Linked DNA regions of Stegostoma tigrinum. The protein of the gene in region 4 interacts with the protein of the main gene of each other region in a pairwise test. Links are inferred from orthologs where the notes say so. Each region holds a gene or a part of one and is shown on either strand. Other genes may lie near its edges.

Region 1 (7,547 bases), on a different chromosome or scaffold from region 4:
AATGGCCAATCAACATGTCATAGACATAGAACAATACAGTGCAGAACAGGCCTTCGGCCTTTGATGTTGCGCCGACCTATGAACTAATCTAAGCCCCTTCCCTACACTATTCCATCATCATTCATATGCTTATCCAAGGACTGTTTAAATGTGGCTGAGTTAACTACATTGGCAGGCAGGGCGTTCCACGCCCTTACCACTCTCTGAGTAAAGAACCAGCCTCTGTCATCTGTCTTAAATCTATCAGCCCCTGTACAAGGTGAAATCATCATCCTCGGAAAAAGACTCTCACTGTCCACCCTATCTACTCCTCTGATCATCTTGTATGTTGCAAATGCAGCCGCACTAGTGTTTTGCACAGTTGCAGCAAGAAAGAACCAAATATTTCTAATTGCTCTGACAGATGTTAGTTACAACACCAAGCTTCATAAATACCAAAGAATAGAATAGAAACTCTGTCTAAACTTGAAGCTATGTAAAAGCATAATGTATACTGCCTTTACTAAGTAAACCTCAAAATAAATAAAGGTCTATATTAAGTAAATAATTGGAAATTTAAAAACAATCCTTTTTGACAGGAATTTAATGAATGTTCACAAACGCACACAGCCTGTCATTATTTATCTCAAACAGCTAAAATGTCTTAACGTTTTCTTTTTCAGCTCAGCCTAACATGGCTAACTGATCACAAGCAGATGTATAAGGGGATTGGCTCAGAAGCAAAGTGTACAGTATCTCTAAATGGGTGGGAGTTAGGTTTTACAAATATTAATTGGTATTGTTAAATTAAATTTAAACTAAGTCAGAATGGTGAATCTACAGAATATCAATAGCTTCAGCCAATAATATATTAAGAACTGTGTACACTTTCTGCCCTCTATTTCTACTGTGTAGAGACATGCACAACTCTTCAATGCATACCTGTACTGCAAATTGTCTATGCTAAACTGCCTGTGCCTTTATTTCTTCTAAGAATGGGAGGCACCTTCCCACACCATATTCTACCAACTTCAAGGTTAAAATCTTTAAAATTAGCCTTTTGTAGGGTCACATTTGGTATGGGTGTCAATCACTGGGTAACATTTATTGCCCATCCAAACTGCCCCCAAGGCAGTAGTGAGCTGCCTTCTTGAACCACTGCAGTCCACATGCTGTCGGCAGATCCACTATTCTGTGAGGGAGGGAATTCCAGGATTTTGGTGGAACAGCGACATATTTCTAAGTCAGGATGGACAGTGGCTTGGAGGGGAACTTGAAGGTGGCGGTGTTCCCATGTATCCACTGCCCTTGTCCTCCCAGGAGGTAAAGGTCACTGAATTTGCAACATGCCGGCAAAGGAGATTTGACAATGCATCTGGTTGGTGGCACACATTTCCTCCACTTTGCCTTGGGAGTGGAGGGAGCGGATGCTTGTGGATGTGGTGCCAATTAAGCGGGGGCTGCATTTTCCTAGACTGTTGTCGAGCTTCTCGAGTGTTGTTGGAGCTGCACCTACCCAGGCGAGTGGCCATCATACTCCCTGACTTGCAAGTTTTCAACTCTTGTCTCACTGTCTTTTGGCGGTGGGGAGGGGGGGGGGGTGGGAGGGGGTGTCGAATTTCCACCATCCAATGAAAAACTGCCCCCTTATGTGCTGGACTCCCGGCTCTACTCACCCTGGTCGTTTTCAACGCTCCGAGTGGGATGCTGCTTGACTTCCTGTGTCGAAGGGAACGCGCACACAGTTTGCAAGCTGTCCACAGAGTTTAACCCTTGCGGAGCCAGTATCAAACCAGTTGATTCTGTGCTGCATCCCCTCTCTGAGGCCTGCGTACACCGTACATCCTTCCTGAATTGCAACGAACAGCGCTGGCTGGCCGTAATATCTGAAAGTGTGTGTGTGTTTTTGTTGGCCGGGTTTGGGGGGGGGGGGTGTGGAAGAGTCTCTATTCGAGTCTCGAAATGCAAATCAAAACAACGAGGCGGGCACCCCAGCCCAGGACCTTCCCCCTTCCAAAGCTGCATGCATAACACACTATCAAAGCGAGAGGCAGGTGGGCGTGTGCCTTGTGGCTGTTCTGCAGAAGTATCACCCCTTTTCCCTTATGAGGGCCGTGAGCGGATAGCTGATGCAAACTCCACGGGGAGGAAAGAATGTACAGTATGAAAAACCTCAGCATCCTTCCGCGCACCCCCCTTCCCGCCCCAACTCCTCCCTAAATACAACATGCAGAGAGAGAGAATATTGATCAGGAACAGCTTGCTCCCGTATGACACACACGTAGGGAAAGAGGGGATGATGTGGGCGGAACGTAGCGTACTTTTGGCGGTACAGACTCAGACGGGCCGAAGGGCCGCCTACTGAACCGTCTGATTCCTTCGGCCCCAAATCTGCCCCCGCCAGTGACCTGACGATCCTCGAGGAAATCAGACATTCCGCTGGAGACGAGGAAATGATACAACATTTTACTGTTCCGCAGATCTAGCGATTTGTGTGTCCCCTCACGTCTGCTAAAATCAACCTCTCCCTCCTGCTCCCATATCTTTTTTGCACACCGACTATATTTTTTATCTCGCTATTTGTAAAGGTGTACGGGGGGGAGTTGGGAAGGGAAGGCTCATGTATAAGGGAGAGTGTTGAGAAACTGACGCCCCCAGTTGCTTACACATTACAGGGCATGTTGCTGCAGTTTTCTCTCTCTCTGGCCCAGCGGAGGAAGTTCCAAAAAAAATTGCACGGAGGGCTTCATCCTGCCGTTTCTCTGGGGCATATTTTTCCTTTTTTTAAAAACCTCCCCAAGACGATAGGATCCCACCCCGCTATCTGTTACAGTAAACACTCACCTGCAGCGGCTGGCTCCACACCCAGTAATGAACTGCGGGAGTTTCTCTCCTGGAGCAGTGTGCGTGTGTGTGTGTGTGTGTGTCTGCACTTGGCTCATTCACAGTGAGGTTTTCAACTCAGATAAAAACACATACAACACGTCTCCAACAGCTCTGCCAGTCGCCATCTTCCTGTGACGCAGACTACAGCTAATTTCGGTCCACGGCTTGAAATTCAATCGGTGTGTGTGTGTGTGAGAGAGAGAGAGAGAGAAATTGTGTAAACAAGTGCGCGTTATGTTCGCCACACATTTAATACTGTTCATTGTCTTCCGCCCTGCGCTGTTGACAGCAGCATGATTGAATTATATAACACCCACTAGGAGTGCAATAAATAATTAGGGATGATTTATTTTACAAAATAATAAAAACACATGCTCCCCAGAAACCGTTTAGAACCACTCTGTATTTGCAGACTGTACACAACTTGTGGGATTTTGCATTTCGTTCGCCAGGGAAGGAAGGATCAGTGACGAGGCGGAATGAGTTGAAAGAACTTGACTTCGGTGAAACATTTCCCAGTCCAAACCCTACCCCACCCCGTCTCTCGGGCACTTCGTTGAATTCTGAGAAATTTTCTCCCCAATTAGGTCGCTAGCCTCATAAATACTTCAGCTTTGGGAGTAGACTGTAAACCTGTTTGATAAAGATCGTGAAATCATCGAGATGGGGCTTTGTGGGGCATGTCTACTGAATTTTCTTTCGCTTTGAAAGGCCACCCGTGCACGGGAAGATTCCCACACGCAGAAAGTAAAGACGGCACGGGGTACTTTGCAACACTTTATGTGAACGGACGGCATAGGGGCGGGGGGAATTTATAAGGTGACGAGGAAAAGGTGGGAAAGCTGTTTGGCATTTCTATCAAAGAGCTAGTACAGACACGATGGCCCGAACAGCCACTTTAATCGTTCTGACGATGGGTCACAACACGAAACGTTAGCTCGACTTTCTCTTTCTGCAGATGCGTTTCTCAGCCATTTCCTGTTTTTTTTTTCAGATGCCCAGCACATTTGTTTTAGTTTAGCTCCCCAACCCTAGTTCTTCTTTTGCAAAACGCTTTAAATCCGTGTCCTCTCGTTCCTGATGCTTTAAACAGTTCTGGGTCTTATCCAGATTATGAGAACCTCTCTCTGATGCCCCTTTCGCCTTCTTGCAGAGAACAGCCCCAAACGCTATTTTGAAAGGAGTCGGAAAAGATAACTATAGGCCAGTGACCTTAAGCTCTGTTCTTGGGAAAATGTTAGAGTCTCTTGTAAAGGATGTAATTACAGAGCATTCAGAAATGTATAATATGATCAAGCAGAGTCAGCATTGCTTCATGAAGGGGGGAAATCACGCCTAACAATATTTTTTACAACTCTTTGAGGAAACAACAAGCATGATTGATAAAAGGGAAACAGTGGATATTATACATTTGGATTTACGGAACATGATTGATAAGCTGCCACACATTGGGCCATTAAATAGCTGTCCATGGTGTGGAGAAGATATATTAGCGTTGATAGAGGATTGGCTCACTAGGAGAGGACAGAGAGTTGGGATAAGGTAGGGAATTTTCAGGATGGCAAACTCTAAATAGTGGTGTGCCACAGGCATCAAAGTGTTGGGGCCACAATTATTTATAATATGTATAAATGGCTTGGATGAGCAAAAGTACTATAGCCAAGTTTGCAAATGACACAAAGAATAGGTGGCAAGTTTGAAAATTGTTGAATTCAACTTTATTTACTTCATTAAAAAAAGCCAGAGCAGGATCTGTGATCAGTAAAATGATGACGAAGTTGTTGGGTTGTCATCATAATCCAACTGGTTCATTTGGCCTCCTGTGTCATCCGGCTCTACACCTTGTTATCTCAGATTCTCCAGCATCTGCAGTTCCTACTATCTCTGGTTCATTCACATTGTTTACCCAGTCTGGGCTGTATATAATCCCAGTCCTACGTCACTGTCAATACCATCCCCTGCCCAAGGGCCCACCGTGTTTGACTTTGAAACTGCCTCTGAAGTGCTCCAGGGAGGTTTATCAAATTCTCCTGCAAAGCAAAATGAAGCTTTATACATGACCAGACAAAAAGTTCTCCCTTTTTTGTAATTGTGTTCTATGAACTACTAACAATACAGGGATTGCTCCATCAAACAGCAGGTAGGAGAGCAAGAGAGAGAAGGCGAACTGTGGTGGCTTTGGATCGGGAGTTGATCCTCTGTGGAGTATGCTATTGTCAAATGTGTCTGGAAACCTGAAGTCACAGGCTGTTGACTGAGACAAAAGCCAAACATTTCGACGTGAAGTTCTGACAGGATGAAAGTCTCCTTTGTCAACTGTGAAGGTTCTGCATGAAATGAATTCGGGCAATCGCTCAACCCAGTTACTAATGGGCGATGGGCCAAGGGACAAGCTGCCCCAAAGCTGCCAGGGTGTGGAAACCGTGGGAAATAGGCAGACGTCGCACTGTTTTGGTGGAGTGGGTTGGTTATAGAGAGACAGTGAGATTTGCCCTGCGTCTAATTGTGGTACTCAATGCCAGCACTGGAGAATTATCTCATTCTCCACTTCTGACAGGCATCAGCACTGCAGCCAAAAAGCACACTTACCATGATGTCATTTTAAAAATCTCTTTCTGGAAAAAGCGTTTCTAAGGAACAGGGTCTGGCAATGAAATGAACCCAAGTTTTGAACAGGTAGAGCAATCACAAATTGGCAGGAATGAGGGAACCAAGGAATGATGTCAAAACAAGATATGGTAATAGCTGGAGGAGAACCATATGCCCCTTGAACAACTTCCCTCAGGGATCAAAGGGAACTCAAACCTGTACTGAATTGTTGGGAAAAAGAAAAATCCCTCAGACTGTTCAGAAGTGTGTTAAAGCCATTTCTGAAGTCTGAGAGTGTGCTGTCGGAATCTTGGCCATCAGTTCAGTCAGAAAATCACCAGTTTTTGGAGACAAGCTACACTAAGGGACAGAAAATATTGGTGGGAGTTGCTCAGTGATCCCTCTGTCAGCATTTGTCACATGGAAATCGGGAAATTAGACGTCCATGTAATATTGCTGGCTTTGGGGACTTTAAGCCTCACATTAAATGGAAAAGCTAAACTTGTATAAGCATGGAGGATGGGTCATGGAAAGTATGCAGGATATACTGAGGTGTCCACTAGGAAATAGATTATTTTGGGTCAAGTATTTCGCAATGATGGGAAGTGTCATTAATAGTATTGCAGTAATGAGGCGTCCAGGGAATAAGTGGTAATTATATGATAGAATTTCATAAAGATTTAAAGTAAATTAATCATGTTTGGAATTAATATTTTCTACAGAAGTGCAGAAAACCACCTATGTATGATGGTATTGTGATGAAAGGTTTACAGTATACGTTATCATTTTTGGAATTTGGTAACTAAAATAGAGATGAAGGGATTTTGGTCAGTTCTTTGAAGACTTTTCTTGAAAGAAAAGGTTGGAAAGTCACTCTGGAACAGTGACCTAAACGCATCATCGCTGACAAAATATATGATGCAGTCAAGTGTCTAACAGAACACTGATGGTGTTGTTATTGGAGAGGATGTGAATACTTCTGAGTTTCCCTTAGCATTCAAGAGAACTAGGCACCTCAGCAAGTATGTCCTCACCTGTGAAACCTCCAAGGTGGAAAAACCTATGCAGCCATCTTTCAGTCACTAGGACTGAGAAAATTTCAGCCCTCAGCATGGTGAAATGTTCATGCCAGTATACTCGGAAAGAGATTGTGGAAATTGCATGGTTTTGTTTCCTTCATTCATGGGAAGGAGGTGCCACTGGCATGGTCAGCATTTATTGCCCATCGCTGTTACTTTGTGGTGGATGTCGAGTCACACGCAGGCCACATGAATATGTAAGTTAGATTTCCTTCCCTAAACGGCATAAGTGAACCAGACAGTCTTTTTTTCCTGACAATTGATAATGGGTTTATGGTCATCATTAGACTTTTAATTCTGGACTTTTTTAAAAAGAAATTGAATTAAAATTCTTCCATCTGCCATGGTAAGATTCAAATCTAGGTTTCCAGAACATTACCTTGGACTCTGAATTAATATTCCAGCAATAATTCCACTAGGCAATTACATCGACTCAGAGAGGAAAAAAAGCTGGAAAGAATCAATTAAGTAGAAACTTAAATAGATTTAGGAGGAACATTTCTCTGGACTTGAGTCTCTAATGGGTCATGTAGCGAAATAGGTCGAGGCTTTGCTTTTGCTTCCAATTTCCACCCTGCTCTCACTTTCACCTGGTCCATCTCTGACTCCTCCCTTCCCTTCCTACACATCATTGTTTCCATTTCTGGGCTTAGGCTGGCCACCATATCCACCATAAACCCAGCGACACCCACAGTTACCTAGACTATACATCCTCAGACCTAAAGAACCTATTCCACTCGCCCCGTTTCTTCACCTCCGATGCATCTGTTCTGATGATGGCAATTTTGACAAGGGAGCTTCTGAAATGTCCACCTTCTACCTCAACTGAGGATTCCTCAGCACTGTTGTTGGCAGGGCCCTCAGCTGGGTCCAATCTATCTCCCATACTACAGCCCTCACCTCCTCTCTTCCCTCTCACAACTGCAGTAGGGACCCCCTTGTACTCACCTATTACCTATCACCCACCAGCATCCACATTCAGAAGATCATCAGACACCATTTCCACCACCTCCA
Region 2 (7,295 bases), on a different chromosome or scaffold from region 4:
CCACCCCTCTCACCCACTCCAACCTCTCCCCCGCAGAACGGGCAGCCCTCCGCTCCCACCCCAACCTCACCATCAAACCCGCAGACAAGGGTGGCGCAGTGGTAGTATGGCGCACTGACCTCTACATCGCCGAGGCCAGACGCCAACTCTCCGACACCACCTCCTACCGCCTCCTCGATTATGACCCCACACCCGAGCAGCAAACCATCATCTCCAACACCATTCACGACCTCATCACCTCAGGGGACCTCCCACCCACAGCCTCCAACCTCATTGTTCCCCAACCCCGCACGGCCCGTTTCTATCTCCTTCCCAAAATCCACAAACCTGCCTGCCCTGGTCGACCCATCGTCTCAGCCTGCTCCTGCCCCACCGAACTCATCTCCACCTATCTGGACTCCATTTTCTCCCCTTTGGTCCAGGAACTCCCCACCTACGTCCGTGACACCACCCACGCCCTCCACCTCCTCCAGGACTTCCAATTCCCTGGCCCCCAATACCTCATATTCACCATGGACGTCCAGTCCCTGTGCACCTGCATTCCGCATGGAGATGGCCTCAAGGCCCTCCGCTTCTTCCTGTCCCGCAGGCCCGACCAGGCCCCCTCCACCGACACTCTCATCCGCCTAGCTGAACTCGTCCTCACACTCAACAACTTCTCTTTTGACTCCTCCCACTTCCTACAGACTAAGGGGGTGGCCATGGGCACCCGCATGGGCCCCAGCTATGCCTGCCTCTTTGTAGGTTACGTGGAACAGTCCCTCTTCCGCACCTACACAGGCCCCAAACCCCACCTCTTCCTCCGGTACATTGATGACTGTATCGGCGCCGCCTCTTGCTCCCCAGAGGAGCTCGAACACTTCATCCACTTCACCAACACCTTCCACCCCAACCTTCAGTTCACCTGGGCCATCTCCAGCACATCCCTCACCTTCCTGGACCTCTCAGTCTCCATCTCAGGCAACCAGCTTGTAACTGATGTCCATTTCAAGCCCACCGACTCCCACAGCTACCTAGAATACACCTCCTCCCACCCACCCTCCTGCAAAAATTCCATCCCCTATTCCCAATTCCTCCGCCTCCGCCGCATCTGCTTCCACGATAAGACATTCCACTCCCGCACATCCCAGATGTCCAAGTTCTTTAAGGACCGCAACTTTCCCCCCACGGTGATCGAGAACGCCCTTGACCGCGTCTCCCGCATTTCCCGCGACACATCCCTCACACCCCGCCCCCGCCACAACCGCCCCAAGAGGATCCCCCTCGTTCTCACACACCACCCTACCAACCTCCGGATACAACGCATTATCCTCCGACACTTCCGCCTTTTACAATCCGACCCCACCACCCAAGACATTTTTCCATCCCCTCCTCTGTCTGCTTTCCGGAGAGACCACTCTCTCCGTGACTCCCTTGTTCGCTCCACACTGCCCTCCAACCCCACCACACCCGGCACCTTCCCCTGCAACCGCAGGAAATGCTACACTTGTCCCCACACCTCCTCCCTCACCCCCATCCCAGGCCCCAAGATGACATTCCACATTAAGCAGAGGTTCACCTGCACATCTGCCAATGTGGTATACTGCATCCACTGTACCCGGTGCGGCTTCCTCTACATTGGGGAAACCAAGCGGAGGCTTGGGGACCGCTTTGCAGAACACCTCCGCTCAGTTCGCAACAAACAACTGCACCTCCCAGTCGTAAACCATTTCCACTCCCCCTCCCATTCTCTTGATGACATGTCCATCATGGGCCTCCTGCACTGCCACAATGATGCCACCCGAAGGTTGCAGGAACAGCAACTCATATTCCGCCTGGGAACCCTGCAGCCATATGGTACCAATGTGGACTTCACCAGTTTCAAAATCTCCCTTTCCCCCACTGCATCCCTAAACCAGCCCAGTTCATCCCCTCCCCCCACTGCACCACACAACCAGCCCAGCTCTTACCCCCCACCCACTGCATCCCAAAACCAGTCCAACCTGTCTCTGCCTCCCTAACCGGTTCTTCCTCTCACCCATCCCTTCCTCCCACCCCAAACCGCACCCCCAGCTACCTACTAACCTCATCCCACCTCCTTGACCTGTCCCCTCCCTACCTCCCCACCTACACTCTCTCCACCTATCTTCTTTACTCTCCATCTTCGGTCCGCCTCCCCCTCTCTCCCTATTTATTCCAGTTCCCTCCCCCCATCCCCCTCTCTGATGAAGGGTCTCGGCCCGAAACGTCAGCTTTTGTGCTCCTGAGATGCTGCTTGGCCTGCTGTGTTCATCCAGCCTCACATTTTATTGTATTAGAATTTTGGATGGGCAAAACTAAGTTGATCATCTGATACATAATTGTGTTGTGAGTTCTTCAAAAAGCCTAAAGTAGTTATACGACAAGGTCCAAGAGTCCCTTTAAGAACGCATTCCAACTAACCAGTCTTTGTTTTTAACGACCAGCGTTTCGTGGACAGCACTGAAGATTTTCGAAATAATCGTAGGATACGTTACAAACTAACCGAAACCAGATTTTGTTTTTAAAAATAATCAGAAAGACTTACAAACCCTGATCTGAGGTGACACTCGCTTACTGGGAGTTTAAAATACATTTCACTTGTGCGTGGTACTCTCGAATGATAATTCACATTTAAACGAGTTTGTAATGCGTCCCCACGCATGAGGATTAACGTCACCACTGAAACAGTCTTCATAACAGTCCTCTCCAAAGCCTTGGCGTCTTTCCTCGCCGCCTGTGGAATTTAACCACACTCCATTTCAAATGGGAAACATCTGGTGCTTGTGGCTGGAGCATCTCCGAGGCCCGGGGCTGAAGATGAAACCTGCCTCACACCTCCCATTTATTTTACAGCCCTCCCGCCGACGCTGCTTTTACCTCGAACCCATCTACCCACACCTTGGAAAGCAGCCACTTCAGTGTCGATAGAAGAACCTTTGGCGATTCTGGAAGCTGAATACTCACGCTTGTCTACGAGCGATCAATCTGTGCATAGGCGTCGCCATCTTGGTTTCCCGAAATGCATCGGGGCTGTCACTAAGCAACAGCCGTGAAGGTTCTGAGCTTCCTTGGGCCTGAGCATCCAACAAAACCAGATTCATCTCGTAGTCACTGGGGAGGGCTGGCCAAGACTACCATTTTCTCTTTTACGTTGCATTTCAAACCAAGCCCGCTCTGTTTAAGTCCTATTTAATTAGGGACCTCACATTGTTAGTGTGTGCTTTGCAATTGCTTGTGTATCATGCTATGAACACTTTGCCTACTTGAGGGATTGGGGTGAGTTGGCTGAATATTGGGAATTGGAGCTAAAAAAACACACACACATTTCTAATTGACCTGTACAGAGATGTTGTTACACACCCCTGCAATAAGGCTTAACAGTTGGTGTTGAGTTTCGTATGTTTTCTTTATTATTCATTCACGGGATTTAGGTGCCACGAAAACAGTACAAACTCAGGAACACTTGGACATGAGCGTATCAAAATTCAGTTTTCAGGTTTGACCTGGACGCCATCAATTCTAAGTGGTGCTGTGCTACTTTTCTGGTCTAGGAGGCTATGCTGTATTTGTTGCTTGACCTTAATTGTTCTTGAGAAAATGGAATGAACTATTTTCTTGAACATTGAATGTTGAGGGCTGATAGTTTTATATTCTCTTGCTGGAGATGGTCACTTCCTGGCTGTTATGTGGTGGAAATGTTATTTACTCCACTTTGTTGTTTGAGGAGCCATGAATGCAGTATCCAAATGCTTTCATAGACTGTATCATTGGTCATGCTAGCATTTGTTGCCCATCTCTAATTGCCCTTGAACTGAGTGATATGGAAGGTCATTTTGTAGGGTATTTGAGATCCAAGCACAGTGCCATTTTTGTGTGAATGGGGTTACAAATAAACCAGATCAGGTACAGAATGTTTTGTCACCACCTTTGGAGTGAAGCACAGCTTTTAAGAGCTTAACATGCAAATGAGCCAAGTACCTATCTGTGAATACATGACAACAGATGATGCAATGCAGCTATGTCATTTCGGAATGGAAGCCACAAATGTCTTACCTTTTGGAAGTGAGCAGACTAACAATAATGGAATTCAACATTGTGACCATCCATGAGTTCACCGACGTATCCATGGCAGCAGAACAATCAAGAATGCTCACATTGAATCAGTCTAGGATTTATACCAACTGTACCCAGGCAGATTCATTGCAGTAAGAAGTTTCAAAGGCAATGCCAAATTGAACTTCAAAGAAGATGCAGTTCCATCAATTGACCCTCCCAGAAAGTGTATTCACAAAGAAGAAATGCTTAAGTGTGAGTTAGATTACATGAAATGCAATAGCATTGCCATTGTGCGGATTACGACGAAGTGATGCAGTTCAGCTACGAATGAAGAATCATGCAATATTGTATACACATCTGAGATGTCTAAACCGCTTTTGAAAGAGATATCCACAAAAGATTCCAACACTAGAAGAGTTGAATCCTAAATTCGTAAGAGCTAAATTCTCCTCCAAGCTGGGAAATCACTACTTCCACAACACTATTTGGAAGATTTTGCACACAGAAGCCAACTTTCAGTTTGTTTTTCAGTCAAAAGATATTTCAGCAGCACATAAATTGAATTACAAGAAGTGTGCCTGAACACATATGCATTGATAATGTCCTTGTGGTAATAGGCAAAAGCAAAGAAAAGCATAATTGAATGCTTTGCTCACGGCATTTTCAGCAGCAAAAAGTGCCAGATGCATATAAATCAACTTAATTTTTTTTGGCTTTACGTGTTCAAGTTGTGGAATCTGTCCCAACTCAGACAACGGTGATGATATAAGACAAATGCCTACCCCACATAACAACAAAGACCTAGAGATGCCTTGGATTCTTCAATTTCTTGCACAATACAATCAGACCTTTCCATTAAAGTATTATCACTGAGAGAGCGCCCAAAAAAAGTCAAGCCATCTTTATACCAGAAGGACTGTTAGACCACTGAGACAATACATGGACTCTTAGATTTCTACACGTGTAAATTTTACAACTCTAATTCTGGAGAATAACTTCTGTTTTTAGCCAATGTTATGTGTTTTCACTTACGCCATTAGAAGAGCTATCTTTGGAACAAGGGGATATTAGCATCCTTAGAGTGAATCCCTTTAAAAGTTTAATTTAATGTAATGAGTTAAGTACCCAAATGTTGTTACATAACTATACACTCTCTGAAGCACTCTAGACCCAGGCCGTGGCTGGGAATTATCTGAATTGCAAAAAGTAGTTTAGCTGTAAATAAACTCACCATTGGTCTCTCAGTAAATAGAATCCATGCACTTTATTTATGTTAGTTCTCGATAACACAAGAATGTTGTTTTCTAGAGATAATGGGAACTGCAGATGCTGGAGATGTTATTTTCTATTTGTTTCCAAAAGGAAGCCATTCAGCTTTTTACAATGATCACGTTATGGCACTACTAGACTTAGCTTTTAATTGCAGATATTCTTAATTGGATTCAAATTTCACCATCTGCTGTGGTGGAAGTTGAACACAAAACTCCAGACCATTAACGTAGGCCTAACCTGGATTACTAACCCAGTGACAACGCCATCATACTACTACCTCCCTGAAACAACAATTGTTGAACATTTTACAATCATCAACAAACATCACCCCACTCCCACCATATGATTGAAAGAAGGTTATTGCTGAAGTAGCTGAGGACTCCTGCAGCTTTGCCCTGCGACTGAAATGATTGATTTTCAACAATTGCAACCATGTTCCTTCGTGGTCGGTATGATTCCAAACAGCAGAGAGTTTTTTCTCTGATTCCTACTGCAGTTTTCTAGGCTGCTGATACTATGATTGATTTGTCTTGGTGTCAAGGTATTTCATTCTCAACTCACACTGGTTGTCAAGGTTAAAGGTAAGATTCGTGGTTGACATTTGCATTATGGGTTAGTGCTATCATTATAAATCACTAATGGTCCAACGTTTTCAAATTGGCTTCGGGCAACATTTCTTTACAGTCTGTAATAAACATACTTCCAATTGAAATTCTACTGCTGTTCCAGGTAACAATTCTTGTTGTATATCAAAAAATTTGAATATTTTGCTATATAACCTCTCTATTGCTATTTCAATGAAGTGTAAATAAAGTTATTTCAATAGTGGCCTCTGCCATTGACCTTGTGCTAATTTTATTCAAAAAATAATACATAGAGGAAAGATGAAATTTTCTTTTTCATTTGTGAAATTAAGGACAAAGGCACACTGTGACACATTGTTTGAATTCCTAAAATTGAAATTGAGGAAGTTTGGGCAATTTGAAAATTTATCCACGTGCAATTCATATGCTGGTTCATAGTGAGTCAGCACAGTATATAATTGAAAAATGCTACTAATTGCATTTGGGTACAATGGAGAACTTCAGTCCTTTCAAACAGGACTGATGTGTCTAAGAATGAAGGCTACACATTTGGCTAAAAGCAAATAAGGTAAGAGAATAGAATTGGATAAATGATTTCTTTACCATGTTGGCATCAAGCATTTTTATGGTGTCTAAATTTTTGACTGGTGTCTAAACAGTGTTGTCTGTGTGACCTCAGTTCAGTGGACTATGCTGAAATTCACGAGATTGCATTATGGCATGACTGTGAATGAATTCATACTGAAAGTTGCATTCCATAATTGGAAGCTGTTTCCAACTGAGTCATACAGAATACATTCTCAAATTAAAGAACCTCTCTCATCGTTGTGGCCGGTAAGTGAGGTGTGGATTTTGAAATCCACATTATAGACATGCTAATGAGCAGTTTGAAAAACACTAAACCTAGCCCAAAAGTTTGAGTGAAAACAATAAGTTGACATGGAATGAGTCCTGTAATGAGGCCACATCCACAGAAATGGCAGAAGATAATTGCATGTGAACTATTTTCCTAAACCAGCAGCAGAGGTCCAACAGATTTCAGTGAGATATGGGTCACAGTTGTCATGTTCACTGTCTCTGAGTTAGAATTTTAGATGCTACTGCTACCATGTTGGCCATCAAGCATTAGTGCCCTGTTTCCAGCATACCTTTCGGAAGGTTGGTCATATTCAAATTGAATGTATGCGTAAAGGAGCAAGTAATGCTTCAGTTTATTGGAACTGTTGCAGCCATGCACCAAGCCAAGTTTGTAGTAGACTTAAACCTCATTCAGAGGTCTGGAAATCATCAAAGGTGCAGGAGATAGCTAAGAAAAGTGACGTTGATGTTATTATTCAAGTAGATCAAGAGTTGTTTTAAGTCAGAAATAAAGAAAAACAGCAC
Region 3 (7,182 bases), on a different chromosome or scaffold from region 4:
TGGCACTGCAGGAGGCCCAGAATGGACACGTTGTCTGAGGAATGGGAGGGGGAGTTGAAATGGTTCGTGACTGGGAGCTGCAGTTGTTTGTTGTGAACCGAGCGTAGGTGTACCACAAAGCAGTCCCCAAGCCTCTCCCCAAGCAGATGGAGATAAAGAGCTATAAGGAGAGAGCAAGGTTGATGAGTTTTGCAATATTGAAATGAAAATCTGGCATTGACAAGATAGACAGTTCCCACCTTCATAATTCTGTCATTCTTTGGTCAGTTTCCCTGAGCTGATTGTGTATTTCACAGTTCATATCAAGAAGCCTGGAGGGCAAAACTGCTTTGGAAAAATAATGTTGACGGAGGACAGCCGGGGAGGCACCTCCCAGTCGCAAACCATTTCAACTCCTCCTCCCACGCCTCAGACGACATGTCCATCCTGGGCCTCCTGCAGTACCACAACGATGCCACCTGAAGGTTGCAGGAACAGCAACTCATATTCCGCTTGGGAACTCTGTAGCCCAATGGTATCAATGGGCACTTCACCAGCTTCAAAATCTCCCCTCCCCCGACCACATCCCAAAACTAGCCCAGCTTGTCCCTGACTCCCTACCCTGTCCTTCCTCCTACCTATCCCCTCCTCCCACTTCAGGCCCCACCCCTATCTCCTACCTACCAGCCTCATCCCGCCCCCTTGACCTGTCCATCCACCCGGGATTGACCTGTCACTCCCTTAACTCCACACCTACACTCACCTTTACTGGCTCCATTCCTGCCTCTTTGACATGTCTGTCTCCTCTCCACTAATCCTGCCCTTTATCCATCTTCTATCCGCCTCCTCCTCTCTCCCTATTTATTTCAGAATCCCCTTCCCTTTCCCCATTTCTGAAGAAGGGTCTCTGCCCAAAACGTCAGCCTTCCTGCTCCTCTGATGCTGCTTGGCCTGCTGCGTTCATCCAGCTCCACACCTTGTTATCTCAGATTCTCCAGCATCGGCCGTACCTACCATCTCATGCTCCATAGGAACACTGCAAGACGCTGTTATTGTCACCTACCATCGCATTCCTCTGGGCAGCCCCAGGAATTATTAATGGAAAATAAACTGGCCGGAGTTCAATCCTATAGCAATTATTTCATGAGATAGGTGGTGAAGGAGAGGTTAGCAGTGATCTCAGCTAGGACAGGCAAATAAAGGGTACATAGTGAGGCAATAATAACGCTCACCACTTGCAGTACCTTCCTGCCGTGATCTCATCCAAATTCACATGGAATCACCAAGCAGAATTCTGGTTGATGCCTCTGTCAGAACATACTGCCAGCTGAGTCAGTTGTGCCAAAGTTCTGCACCAAAGCTGATCAACAACTTCTTGATTGAAAAAGCACTGAAACAAAATGATGTGCACTGCAGCTGACACAAGGTCAGAAAACAGGGATATGATGAGAATCACCACAGATTAAAGCAATGCGACAGATGGTGATGTAGTGATGTATTAGAAACTGTGGTCTTATCTGAAAGCGGTGGCAAATTATTGCTTCTGTAATTGTTGTCATGGTTTTGAGTATGCAGTTGCTCGCTCTTCCACTTTAGGTCTGTTTACTGGTGCCCTTGCTTCATGAGGAGAACATTTTCTGAGGGCCATGACTGTACAAGGAACAAGTGTTCCATTTTAAATAATCAGCATCTATATATATGGAATAAAAACAGTGCTGCAACAAAATGTTGCTAAAGCTCTTATCATATAGGCAGATAGAAGTAACTTGCGCTGCAAATAATATTGGTGTGCTTAAATTAATATTTAAATATTTAATATTTAAAAATCCATGTATTCCCCCCGTGCACCAAATGGAGCCCTTCAGTGTGCCAACAGAAAAGTGGACAAACTTATTATCAAATTGTCTTTACTGCTGAGTGGTAGCAGGGACAGATTGCATACCACCATACTGTCACAGTCCCCAGTGCTTCATTTATTTTACTTTGCATCGACACAAAACCTCTGGGCTGTAGCCACTGTGCTGGACTGATATAACAGTCATAATCTTATGTTATTGATATCATATTATGATTTTTAAACAGCCACCTGAACAACTGGCACAGGCAGTCACACTTCATTTAACATCTCATCCAAAAAAAATTCCTACATTGACATTGTTTACAAAATAATACTGTTCATACTCAGGTAATGGTTGATTCTGTCAGTCCCAGCCTCTGCCCCCAAACAAAGTCATTTTCATATGTCTTGTGCATAAATTAAGAAAAAGAATTTTACGCCTAAAAAATCCAAACACCTTGTACTTACCATGCACCGACCACCGAGCTCAAACTTGCTCTGATGCTCTGATAGAATCATGGAACAACACACCATTGGAAATGAGTATTCCATTCCTTCATGTCTCAGCATATCAACATATGATGTCAACGCTATAATTTCACTGCTGTGTGGTACTTTTCGGGGCAGGATTTGTGGGAACAGCTAGTGGGAACAACTCTGAGATAGCAAAATGAGTGGAGACAGTGGGCTTCAACCGCTCCAAAATGTTACTCATGAAGAAGTCAATCTCTTACTTTTTGACAAAAGACTTTAGTCTTGGAATCTTGACTTCTACACCAGTATGTCCTGTGCACAACAGAGCAGCAAACAAAGGATCGTTTACATCCCCAATAGAATGGCATAGATCAAACATACATCATCTCACCTCCAAAGCGCTTCCAAACATCATGATGTTTGAATGATTGCAATTAAGCAAATTTAACAGTTTGCTAAATTGGTTTGCAGGGCGCAAACATCTTTACTTTAAGAGAGTATGCCAGAGAATATGGATAAGCAAAATCAGACGAGAGGTAATGATAATAGTTGCCAAACCAGAAAGGTGACACAAAAAGACTATACAGTAAATTATACAGTTCTTATTTTTCACCAAATGACACAAATGTAATCAAACGCACTCTGGAGCTCTCCATGAAGCATGGCATCACTGACATTAATGACTGAGAGGAACTTGTTATCAATTGTTCAAAATCGTGATAGCTTGTCCATCAAGCAGCATCATACTTTGATTCCTATTGTCTTAATAATGAGGCAGAGCAGTGGCAGAGAAAGAAAGGAAAGGAAGCAAATCCTGCACTCCAGATCCCGCTACCTCATGGGACATCCTGCCACATTTACTCGAAAGATCTTTGGGCTGAGAATTGGCCTGTTCAGTCAAGTGAAGACCCACTGGAGTAGACATCATCCTTCAGCTGAGGGACAGGCACTGCTGATAACAAATGTAGTCTGCAAGATCATTCATATACTCTGAATACCATAGATCTGAAAACCTATGGTTCAAACATATTAACTTGTGTCCTCTTAAACATTATATCATCTTGTTTATGTTCTCAAACTGAAAATCTCCTCCTGGCAGAAACAGCAAACACTTAACATATTCATATAACATTCCCCTGTCTGTTACTGAAAATAAATGGGTTAATCCTACATTTAGATGGTAGGCAACACTCTCTGTTTAAATATGTCAAACCATTTATTAATAATGTCACCAGCAGTCATTTTCAGATCTTAATCTTCTGACCAAAGTGTGAGCATGAAGGAGCAAGGGGGTGGCTTGAAGACTCTCTTGATATAAATTATCAAAAATTTAGTTTTAATTTTAGCCTCGTTGACTCATTCATATCAGGGAGGTAATGAATTGCTACAAACAGATTGTTCAATCGTTGTTGTCGTACTGGTTAAGATAGTGGGAACTGTCTTTACTCTAGGTGTGCCGACAAGCAATGTCACCACATGTCAACTGATTGTCATAATTAAAATCCCAGCACACCTTAATCAACTCACTGATCTAATATTCTGACAGGAGACGCAGCGGAATGTTCAAGATCATTAAAATTGCCCAATTGCTGGGTTTTGATTGTGGCAGTAAACCTCATGGGGAGAGTTTTTTCTTCTATATTGACAACAGGACATGTTGGTTTCTTTGATAACTACCAATCTATTATCCAATTTGCAGTCTTAGGGGTTTCTTCTTTCAAAAGTGTATAACGACCTGATGTTTGAGTAGGTTTTTAAGTGCGTGAAGAAACATTAAACGTGCCAGTAAAAGCACAAACAGTAGATGGGAGGATCTTTTGCTTTCTTGAGAATTATTGCATTGGGAAGGGTGACTGCATCACTGCTGAATTTTCATGCAAATGGAATCCTCTCCTACTCTGTGGCTAAATCTTCAGAATCTGACTCAGAGAACTATGGGGCTGCTCTCTCCTGAGCCAGTGACAATCAGTGCTGGTTTAATCTGAGGGTCACCATGCCACAGGTGAGGGGAGAAGTTGAGATGGTGTGTCCTTTGTGGTAGCCTCAGCGAATCCCCATGCTGTTGAACCCATGCTGTTTGCGTCACTCTGCATTGCAAACCAGCATCTAGCCAAACCGACCTACCAACTCCCTGATTTAGGGATAAGATCTAATGGAACTTGAAATTAGGTGAGACATGTCAAGCCAACCAAAAGTACAGGACTTGAATATATTTAAGACCTCAAATCATTCACGCTGCTACCTGATTGTATAAATTCTACCTCTCCATTTGAGTCTTTGGGTCTATTGGCTGCATTCACCAATATTCTAGAGACAGAAATCTGTGCCCTTTAGGCTCAGCCAATCAAAACAGATTGAAGAAGCACGATATTTACTATCTGCATCCCAAACCTGAATATTTCTGAACCATTCCAGCCTCCGCTCTCTTTAGAGATCATTCACACACTCATGATTAACTAGAACAGCATCACATTTGATAAGTTGGTCTTCACTAGCCAATGGGAAGTGTGTAGGCACTCTCTCCTCCCAAATTCTCTCCCTGCCTCTGCTCAGCAATATTGTCTGGGTGAGCTTGGAATGTACTGAAAAATCCTGGAGGATGTTTATTTGCCTCTTTGTGAATATAAAGATTTAATGTCTACCCACTATAAAAGCAATACATTAAAACTTAAAAAGAAACCACATCCAGCACGTTTGAAAAGTTTCTATTATATAATACAATTGACATGTTAAGATAACCAGCACGTCCATTAGAAGCATTATAGAGTACTTAGAGTTAAAATTGGGTTTAATACTCACCGTGTTAAAAACGTCAACAACTCAAAGTTGGTATGTCATTTTCATAATGGTAAACATGTCATCAAAATTATCACCAAAGTGTATATCTGTACGCCCTTATAGGGGTCTCTCTTATTACCACAACTGGTCTCAACACAAGTCACAGAGATAAATAGGCTCAGAGGGGGCAAGAAGCCTCCAAATAAACGAGCTCCTTCTCAGTTCGAAGATACTTTTATTTGAGAAAAACAAGAGGTGCGCCTTAGGTAGCAGTTGTGATGTGTGAAAGATATTTCACCAAAAGACGTATTTCAGAAAACTGGTTCGACAACAGAAAGCAAAAAAAAGTGTTCACCGTTTCCAGTTGCTTCGCTGTTTGAAATGCGATGACATCCCTCACTATCCCCCAAGGCTTCCATGATTTGAACCAATTTTAGAAACTCTTTAATGAAATGCAATTTCCCTGCAGTGAAACTTTTGCGTACAGGAAAACCGAGATTCACAAAACAGGGTTATTTACATCGCCTCCGCTACATTGCTTCAGAATACAACCAAATATTCCCAAGACATTCTCTCCTTTATAGGAAGAAATAACACCTATAATGTACATCATGCGAAATGCATTTAAGTGTATAACGAGGTCGACAGCACAAGTTTATCTCTGAGGTGCTGAGGGATTAGTCATTCTGCAATCAAATCCGTGAAAGATAATGCTTGCAGATAATAAAAGGCAGCAAAAATAAACTTCCCCTTGAAATCGGGCTGGAAAGGCATCATTTTCACTCTCTCCGCGTCCCAAACTTGAATCTTTCTGGACTCCCTCAAGCCTCCACTCTCTTCAGAGATTATTCCCACACTCAAGATTAACTGGCAAGGTATCACATCTGAATTCTTTTTGTTTGAAATTATTTTTTTTGAATGTAGTACTTTTTTGAAAAGCAAGATTATTCCCTGACGCGATCTTCAAAAAAAATTAAGCTGCACAAATATGTGCCTGTAGGTAGAGAAAAAGAAGTCACCCTACCTCCAGCGCTGATCCCGAGCTCTGTTTCCCTCGCTGCCTCTAACATTGTCTCTCAACCCAGACTGAGCAGCAGCAGGCGCGCCGCCGACAGCAGCACATCCCGGGGGCGCGTGCATGTACGGGCGCGCGACCGGGCGGGGAGGGGTGCGCGCGCTGGCACCCGGCCCTCACCGATACCTGCAGGCGCGCGCCACCTGTACGCTCATGAGTGACCCGGGAGTGGGTGGCGGTCAGCCTGTACAGGAGGGAACCTCATCATTATTACCAGCATCATCATCCATTTCCCTTGCTGCAGATATCTTCATATCAGTTTACTGAGAGTGTGAGCGAGAGAGATCGTGGAAAAAACAATATCCTCCAGTACCGTCAACGTGCAGCCCGACCGCATCATAGCCAGTTAAAACTGATCAGAGTTTGTACCAAGATAATAAAATGTGAGGCTGGATGAACACAGCAGGCCAAGCAGCATCTCAGTTTGTACCAGGTCTCTCCCTCCCTCACCCCTTCCCCTTCCATCCCCAACACCTACACATATGTAACATTCAGACATTTGCACCCTCATTGCCAGCTACTGCCAACACAATTTGACTGACAATGCTGTCTCTTCTTTGTGTCAGAGATAATGGGAACTGCACATGCTGGAGAATCCGAGATAACAAATTGTGGAGCTGGATGAACACAGCAGGCCAAGCAGCATGTTAGGAGCACAAATGCTGACGTTTCTGGGTCTAGTTTTTCTGACAAAGGGTCTAGGCCCAAAACGTCAGCTTTTGTGCTCCTAAGATGCTGCTTGGCCTGCTGTGTTCATCCAGCTCCACACTTTGTTATCTCGGATTCTCCAGCATCTGCTGTTCCTACTATCTATTGGGTTACCTGTTGCCTCCTTAACATCAATGTGGGTCAAACTGCAGCAGGTGGACTACTGTTGTTCAAGAAGACAGCTCACCACCACCATCTCAAGGGCAACCAGGCACCTGCAATAAATGATGACCAGCCAGCAACACCCACATGCCACAAATGAATAAAACAAAATGCTGCTTCACACATCTCTCTGATATATGTTAACAATGTCATAGTAGCTTGGTGGTAA
Region 4 (7,455 bases):
GTGGGTGGGGGAAGAGCTGGGCTGGTTGTGGGGTGCAGTGGGGGGAGGGGATGAACTGGGCTGGTTTAGGGATGCAGTAGGGGAAGGGGAGATTTTGAAACTGGTGAAGTCCACATTGATACCATATGGCTGCAGGGTTCCCAGGCGGAATATGAGTTGCTGTTCCTGCAACCTTCGGGTGGCATCATTGTGGCAGTGCAGGAGGCCCATGATGGACATGTCATCAAGAGAATGGGAGGGGGAGTGGAAATGGTTTGCGACTGGGAGGTGCAGTTGTTTGTTGCGAACTGAGCGGAGGTGTTCTGCAAAGCGGTCCCCAAGCCTCCGCTTGGTTTCCCCAATGTAGAGGAAGCCGCACCGGGTACAGTGGATGCAGTATACCACATTGGCAGATGTGCAGGTGAACCTCTGCTTAATGTGGAATGTCATCTTGGGGCCTGGGATGGGGGTGAGGGAGGAGGTGTGGGGACAAGTGTAGCATTTCCTGCGGTTGCAGGGGAAGGTGCCGGGTGTGGTGGGGTTGGAGGGCAGTGTGGAGCGAACAAGGGAGTCACGGAGAGAGTGGTCTCTCCGGAAAGCAGACAGGGGAGGGGATGGAAAAATGTCTTGGGTGGTGGGGTCGGATTGTAAATGGCGGAAGTGTCGGAGGATAATGCGTTGTATCCGGAGGTTGGTAGGGTGGTGTGTGAGAACGAGGGGGAGTTGTATCCCCCTCGTTCTCACACACCACCCTACCAACCTCCGGATACAACGCATTATCCTCCGACACTTCCGCCATTTACAATCCGACCCCACCACCCAAGACATTTTTCCATCCCCTCCCCTGTCTGCTTTCCGGAGAGACCACTCTCTCCGTGACTCCCTTGTTCGCTCCACACTGCCCTCCAACCCCACCACACCCGGCACCTTCCCCTGCAACCGCAGGAAATGCTACACTTGTCCCCACACCTCCTCCCTCACCCCCATCCCAGGCCCCAAGATGACATTCCACATTAAGCAGAGGTTCACCTGCACATCTGCCAATGTGGTATACTGCATCCACTGTACCCGGTGCGGCTTCCTCTACATTGGGGAAACCAAGCGGAGGCTTGGGGACCGCTTTGCAGAACACCTCCGCTCAGTTCGCAACAAACAACTGCACCTCCCAGTCGCAAACCATTTCCACTCCCCCTCCCATTCTCTTGATGACATGTCCATCATGGGCCTCCTGCACTGCCACAATGATGCCACCCGAAGGTTGCAGGAACAGCAACTCATATTCCGCCTGGGAACCCTGCAGCCATATGGTATCAATGTGGACTTCACCAGTTTCAAAATCTCCCCTTCCCCTACTGCATCCCTAAACCAGCCCAGTTCATCCCCTCCCCCCACTGCACCACACAACCAGCCCAGCTCTTCCCCCCCACCCACTGCATCCCAAAATCAGTCCAACCTGTCTCTGCCTCCCTAACCGGTTCTTCCTCTCACCCATCCCTTCCTCCCACCCCAAGCCGCACCCCCAGCTACCTACTAACCTCATCCCACCTCCTTGACCTGTCCGTCTTCCCTGGACTGACCTATCCCCTCCCTACCTCCCCACCTACACCCTCTCCACCTATCTTCTTTACTCTCCATCTTCGGTCCGCCTCCCCCTCTCTCCCTATTTATTCCAGTTCCCTCCCCCCATCCCCCTCTCTGATGAAGGGTCTAGGCCCGAAACGTCAGCTTTTGTGCTCCTGAGATGCTGCTTGGCCTGCTGTGTTCATCCAGCCTCACATTTTATTATCTTGGAATCTCCAGCATCTGCAGTTCCCATTATCTCTGATACTAAACTAATCCATTATTTATTTCCTCCTTCTCATGGCATGGAGACCAGAGTCATGTTCACCTCTTCAAAAAACAAGTAAAGAAAGAAGAGCACAATAGAGTTTGCATTTAACTTGCTCCTTCACAATCAAAAAGCAACTGAGAGCCTTTTAAGAGATAGTAGGAATTACCGATGTTGGAGAATCTGAGATAACAGCATATAGAGCTTTCGGGTCTGAGCTTCAGAAAGCTGAAAACGTCAGTTTTTCTGCTCCTTTGATGCTGCTTGACTTGCTGTGCTCATCCAGCTTGACACCTTGCTATCTCACAGCCAGTTAAGTACTTTTTAAAATCTAATCACTACTGTAGTGTGGCAAATGAAGCAATCAACAAAAGGTCACCAAACAGAAATGAAACGAAAGTTAAGATAATCATTTGTTTTGGGTCTTGATTAAGGATTAAAATATTGATCAGATCAGCATAACCTTGGGATCTCGCATCCAACTTAAAAGGTAAGACACAGCTTGTGCTTAACATCACATCCAAGAGGCAATCCATCAAATAACGTACACATCCTCAGTTCTGCAGTGAACTATTAGTCTGTGCTTTGGTGTCTGGAGTCTGACCGAAGTCTAGTGCCAGCACTTAACAAGGATGCACACGAGTCAAACAATAGCTCAATTTCACACTTGAACATAAAATTAGAACACCAGGCGGCTCTCACAAGTGACAGACAGTCTGTATTTCCGCAATCTCTTTCCTCGAGAACACCGTTGAAACAACATTCTTCTGAAACCCCTTCTACTCCCAAACACCTCAACCACCTCCTCTTTTTCAATCAACGGTCCGGAAACATCTTCGTAATCCCTTCCTCACCGACTCTCCCCAACCCCAGCCTACCGCTAACCAATATCTCTCTGCCTTCACACCCCTTTGAAATCCCTCGCTGTGTACACCACTCTCCTCCTCTTCTTTCTTCTTCCTTCCCCCCGCTCTTCACTGCGCCCCGTCTAAAACCAGGCCGGCTAGCGTCGAACTTTTATCGCTTTAAAGTGGTGCTGAAACCTCGCAAACAAAAAAAGACACAGGCATAGCCAGTCGACTCTCCGTACCTATGGAAAGAAACTCCCCGATCCTTATCATACCGATTCTTACAGCCATAAGCCGAACAGGAAAGCACCATTTCCACAGCCCTTCACCCGCTATGCACCTGACAGCAATCCTGGCTCTGATTGGCTGGACAGATCACGGCTTTGACTGGTTGGACAGGTGATGACTCTGATTGGCTGGACCGACCCAGGCTGTGATTGGCTGGAATTATCCCTATTCAGAATAATTCCGTTCGAAAAGGTAACAAAGTGTGGAGCTGGATGAACACAGCAGGCCAAGCAGCATCTTAGGAGCACAAGATGCTGCTTGGCCTGCTGTGTTCATCCAGCTCCACACTTTGTTACCTTGAATTCTCCAGCATCTGCAGTTCCCGTCATCTCTGATACGTTATGAAAGTTATCTTGTTCAAAGCGGTCGTTGCAAACTTCTGGAGTGGCTCAGGCTTGAATTTCGGGCCTCCTGGTTCAGAGGTAGGGACACTAACTGCAACACAACAGGCCCTTTTGAGACTGCATCTACCCTGACACACATTGTGGGTGAGTTTCAGGGTAAAGGGGGACAGTGGTACTGGGTAAAAGTTGCATGCTTCAGAAGTGTGTTGTAACACCTCTGAACTGATTTATTAGATATTATCTAACAGAGGGAGAAATTAGAATTTTTGCAGTACAGCAGGTCACCCAGCCCGGCTCTGTTTGCTCCAGCACTGGGTATAAAGAAATTCTTGTGAGACAGTGGCTGTGAGACAGAAGTCCCTGGTCCCACACCCATTTCATAGCCGAGGAATGTACATTCTTAACATGGCCATTTTGAGTATCAACCATTCAACACACATTAGTGGCATGCAACAAGTGTAAGGGACATTCCTGGTCAGGATGCACAGATTGTTGGAGACTCCAACGTCACCATCCAAAGTTACATACTATGTGCATGTTGCCACAGCAAGTCAGATGCCAGGCTGAACTGTAATGCACAACCACTGTATTTGGTACATAGTTGACATTAAGTCTGGGATTCCAATAGTTGAGTTCCAATAACTGAATGTGATATGACTCTGTTTCAGAACTGAATTATCCTCTATCTAGTTTTCTCCTTTCCAAGCTCTTCTTCATGATACCCTTGACTCTATTCACATCAAACCGTTATCTAAATAATCCCTACCCTCACTTTGTTTCTCTCATATTTGCAGATACTCTAAATTGTTCTTTCTCATCCAGAACAATTCTCCCTTGCTCACACTAAATCTGTTATCTTCACATGACCACACAAAACTCTTCTATTTCTGTAGTCTCTAATCTTTTTTTCTTTCAACAGTACTGAAATGCCCTAATCAAAGTCACTGTTGACTATTTCTATTTCTATTCTTCCTCATCCTTCGTCTGGCTGCAAACATTGAGTGGATAGAACACAAGAACTCCTTTAAATGCCCTTAGTCCATTGTGCACAGGGAGGGATGGATGTTGCTTGATTCCATTTTTACCTGTGTGGTAGAAACCATGGAAGTATCCAATTGGCTTTCCATTAATACACCATAACGTCATAAAGGATGATAATATTACAAAAATATTAGAATCCACAGAAGAACCAGGGATAAGGAAATAAACAACAGATTTCAGGGTGGAACTGAAACTTCAAAACTAAAAATCATTATTAACAAACGTGTACAAAACAAATACAAGTGTTGATGACTAAATAGTGTAACACCTCACCAAGGTAGCACGCTGGAAATCAAGCTCCATTAGTCTCAGAGTCTTCACAAAAGTTAAAAATTTTATCAAAGTATAAACTCCACAATGCACCTACCTTTTAGATCCAGGCTAACAGAAAGCATGGACCAGGTTTCTGTATGCAACAATAATTACTAATTATTACAACTAAACAGTTTCTAGCGATGTATAAACAAGTATGAACTGACGACATATAATACTACCAGTTAAAACTATTTTACCATGGACATGCAATCCCTTTACACGTCTAATTCCCCAGAAGGACGGTCTCAAGGCTCTCTGCTTCTTCCTGAATGAAAGTGCTGAGCTGTCCCCATTAACTGCCACCCTCCTCAGCATTGTTGAGCTTGTCCTCGCCTTGAATGACTTCCATCTTAACTCCTCTGATTTTCTTCAGGTCAAAGGGCAGGCCAGGGGTACCTGATTGGGACCCAGTTTTGCTTGTTTCTTTGTGGGGTACGTGGAACTATGCTTATTCCAAACCAACTCCGGCCACCACCCACAACCTTTTCACTGGTGTATCAATGATGTAATTGGTGTCACTTCCCTCTCTTGTCTGGAATTGGAAAGGTTTATCCATTTTGCTTCCAATTTCCACCCCAGTCTCACCTTCACCTGGCCTATCTCTGACTCCTCCCTCCATTCCTCAACATCTCTGTTCCCATTTCTGGGGATAGACTGGCCACCAATATCCACCCCAAACCCTTACAGAGGAAGTGGTTCATGTGTGGAATGAACTTCCAGAGGAAGTGGTGGTTGCGGCTACAGTTACAACATTTAGATAAGTACATGAATAGGAAAGGATTGGAGGGTTATGGGCAAAATGGAGGCAGGGGTGATTGGTCTGTTTTAGGATAATGGACTAGTTGGACCGCAGGGTCTGTTTCTGTGCTATTTGGCTCTATGATTTCCACAGTTACCTTGATGAAACATCCTCACACCTACTTCCTGTAAAGACTTTACTCCATTCTCCCAGTACCTCTATTTTTGTTGCAGCTGTCCTGATGATGCCAACTTCAATAATGGGGCCTCCGAAATGGCCACCTTCTTTGTCAAATGTGGATTCCCCAGCACCACAGTTGACACAGTCCTCAGCCGGGTCCAACTCTTCTCTCACATTTCAGCCCTCAGCTCCTTTCCTCCCTCCCCCAACAATGATAGCGTTCCCTTTGTCTTCACCTATCATCCCACCAACAGCCACATCCAGAGGATCATTAGTCACCATTTCCACCACCTCCAGCAGGATGCTACCTCCAGACACATATTCCCCTGCTCTCCCTTCTTCTGCAAGGACTAATCCCTCAAAGACTCCCTGGTCAGCTCCTCCTTCACTCCCAACACACCCCCACAGCCACACAGCACCTTTGCCTCCACTGAACCTGAAACATTAACTCTGATTTCACTCCACAGATGCTGCCAGACCTGCTGAGATTTACCAGCAATTTTTTGTTTTTGTTTCAGATTTCCAGCACCTCCAGCAGAAATTGAAACAGAATCCCTGCAGTGTGGACGCAGGCCATTTAGCCCATCAATTCCACACCAAACGTCTGAAGAGCATCTCACCCAGATCCACCCCCACTCTATGTCAATAACCCTCCATTTGCCGTGGCTAATCCACCTAACCTGCACATCCCTGGACACCATAGTCAATTTCTCATGGCCAATTCACCTAACCTACATATCTTTCAACTGTGGAAGGAAACCAGAGCATCTGGAGGAAACCCACGCAGAATCAGGGGGATTGTTACAGTCACCCAAGGTTGGAATTGAACCCGGATCCCTGACACTGGGAAGCAGCAGGGCTAACCACTGAACCACTGTGCTGCCCATTTTGGCTCTTATGGGATTTTTTTTTAGTTAAAATTCTGATTCCCTTATAAAACTCCCTGACATGCAAATACAGACAGATATAGCTGGACAAAAAGGATCATGGGTGGAGGGGAAAAACTGAGAAAACAGGTATTTGGTTCTTGTCCACAGGGTTCCATGAAATGATCCTTTTCCTTGTCAGGACTTAGTGTTCTCCATTCTCTCCCCTCCAGGCACTTTCACCTTCTTGCAGGAAGCACAGAGTGACTGATTCACAAATTGCAAAGTCTCTTACTTACTGGTTACTAGCCACAGCTTATACTAATGGGTGAGGAAAAAATAAAATGAAATTCTTTAAGGTTTGGGTGTACCTGTATTCATTTTTACTGCGCAGAGAGACAGATAAAGCCATTCTGGATGTCTAAAGCTATCTTCAAACCAATTACATAGTTGTTGGCAGGCAGATGTCCTTTATCAGTGATAATGGGAACTGCAGATGCTGGAGAATCCAAGATAATAAAATGTGAGGCTGGATGAACACAGCAGGCCCAGCAGCATCTCAGGAGCACAAAAGCTGACGTTTCGGGCCTAGACCCTTCATCAGAGAGGGGGATGGGGTGGGGGTTCTGGAATAAATAGGGAGAGAGGGGGAGGCGGACCGAAGATGGAGAGAAAAGAAGATAGGTGGAGAGGAGAGTATAGGTGGGGAGGTAGGGAGGGGATAGGTCAGTCCAGGGAAGACGGACAGGTCAAGGAGGTGGGATGAGGTTAGTAGGTAGGAGATGGAGGTGCGGCTTGGGGTGGGAGGAAGGGATGGGTGAGAGGAAGAACAGGTTAGGGAGGCAGAGACAGGTTGGACTGGTTTTGGGTTGCAGTGGGTGGAGGGGAAGAGCTGGGCTGGTTGTGTGGTGCAGTGGGGGGAGGGGACGAACTGGGCTGGTTTTGGGATGCGGTGGGGGAAGGGGAGATTTTGAAGCTGGTGAAGTCCACATTGATACCATTGGGCTGCAGGGTTCCCAAGCGGAAT

What was found.
Region 1: the proteins of THAP domain-containing protein 1-like (region 4) and phf1 interact in binary tests that used the Homo sapiens proteins (3 or more experiments, as listed by UniProt). The two-hybrid records come from large-scale screens. The link is inferred for Stegostoma tigrinum from reciprocal best matches to the Homo sapiens genes THAP1 and PHF1.
Region 2: the proteins of THAP domain-containing protein 1-like (region 4) and zcchc10 interact in binary tests that used the Homo sapiens proteins (3 or more experiments, as listed by UniProt). The two-hybrid records come from large-scale screens. The link is inferred for Stegostoma tigrinum from reciprocal best matches to the Homo sapiens genes THAP1 and ZCCHC10.
Region 3: the proteins of THAP domain-containing protein 1-like (region 4) and znf385c interact in a two-hybrid assay, tested with the Homo sapiens proteins (3 studies listed by BioGRID). The two-hybrid records come from large-scale screens. The link is inferred for Stegostoma tigrinum from reciprocal best matches to the Homo sapiens genes THAP1 and ZNF385C.

What each region holds. Positions count from the first base shown.
Region 1 is NC_081387.1:17,109,982-17,117,528, reverse strand, and holds the start of phf1 (PHD finger protein 1), read right to left. Parts: upstream 3,021-7,547; 5' UTR 2,824-3,020; intron 1,940-2,823; exon of another isoform or gene 1,656-1,939; intron 1-1,655. UniProt on the Homo sapiens protein: Polycomb group (PcG) that specifically binds histone H3 trimethylated at 'Lys-36' (H3K36me3) and recruits the PRC2 complex. Involved in DNA damage response and is recruited at double-strand breaks (DSBs).
Region 2 is NC_081366.1:23,102,217-23,109,511, reverse strand, and holds the start of zcchc10 (zinc finger CCHC domain-containing protein 10), read right to left. Parts: upstream 3,021-7,295; 5' UTR 3,006-3,020; coding exon 2,965-3,005; intron 1-2,964.
Region 3 is NC_081384.1:13,221,422-13,228,603, forward strand, and holds the start of znf385c (zinc finger protein 385D), read right to left. Parts: upstream 3,013-7,182; 5' UTR 2,954-3,012; coding exon 2,932-2,953; intron 1-2,931.
Region 4 is NC_081354.1:16,648,836-16,656,290, reverse strand, and holds the start of THAP domain-containing protein 1-like, read right to left. Parts: upstream 3,009-7,455; 5' UTR 2,969-3,008; coding exon 2,898-2,968; intron 1-2,897. UniProt on the Homo sapiens protein: DNA-binding transcription regulator that regulates endothelial cell proliferation and G1/S cell-cycle progression.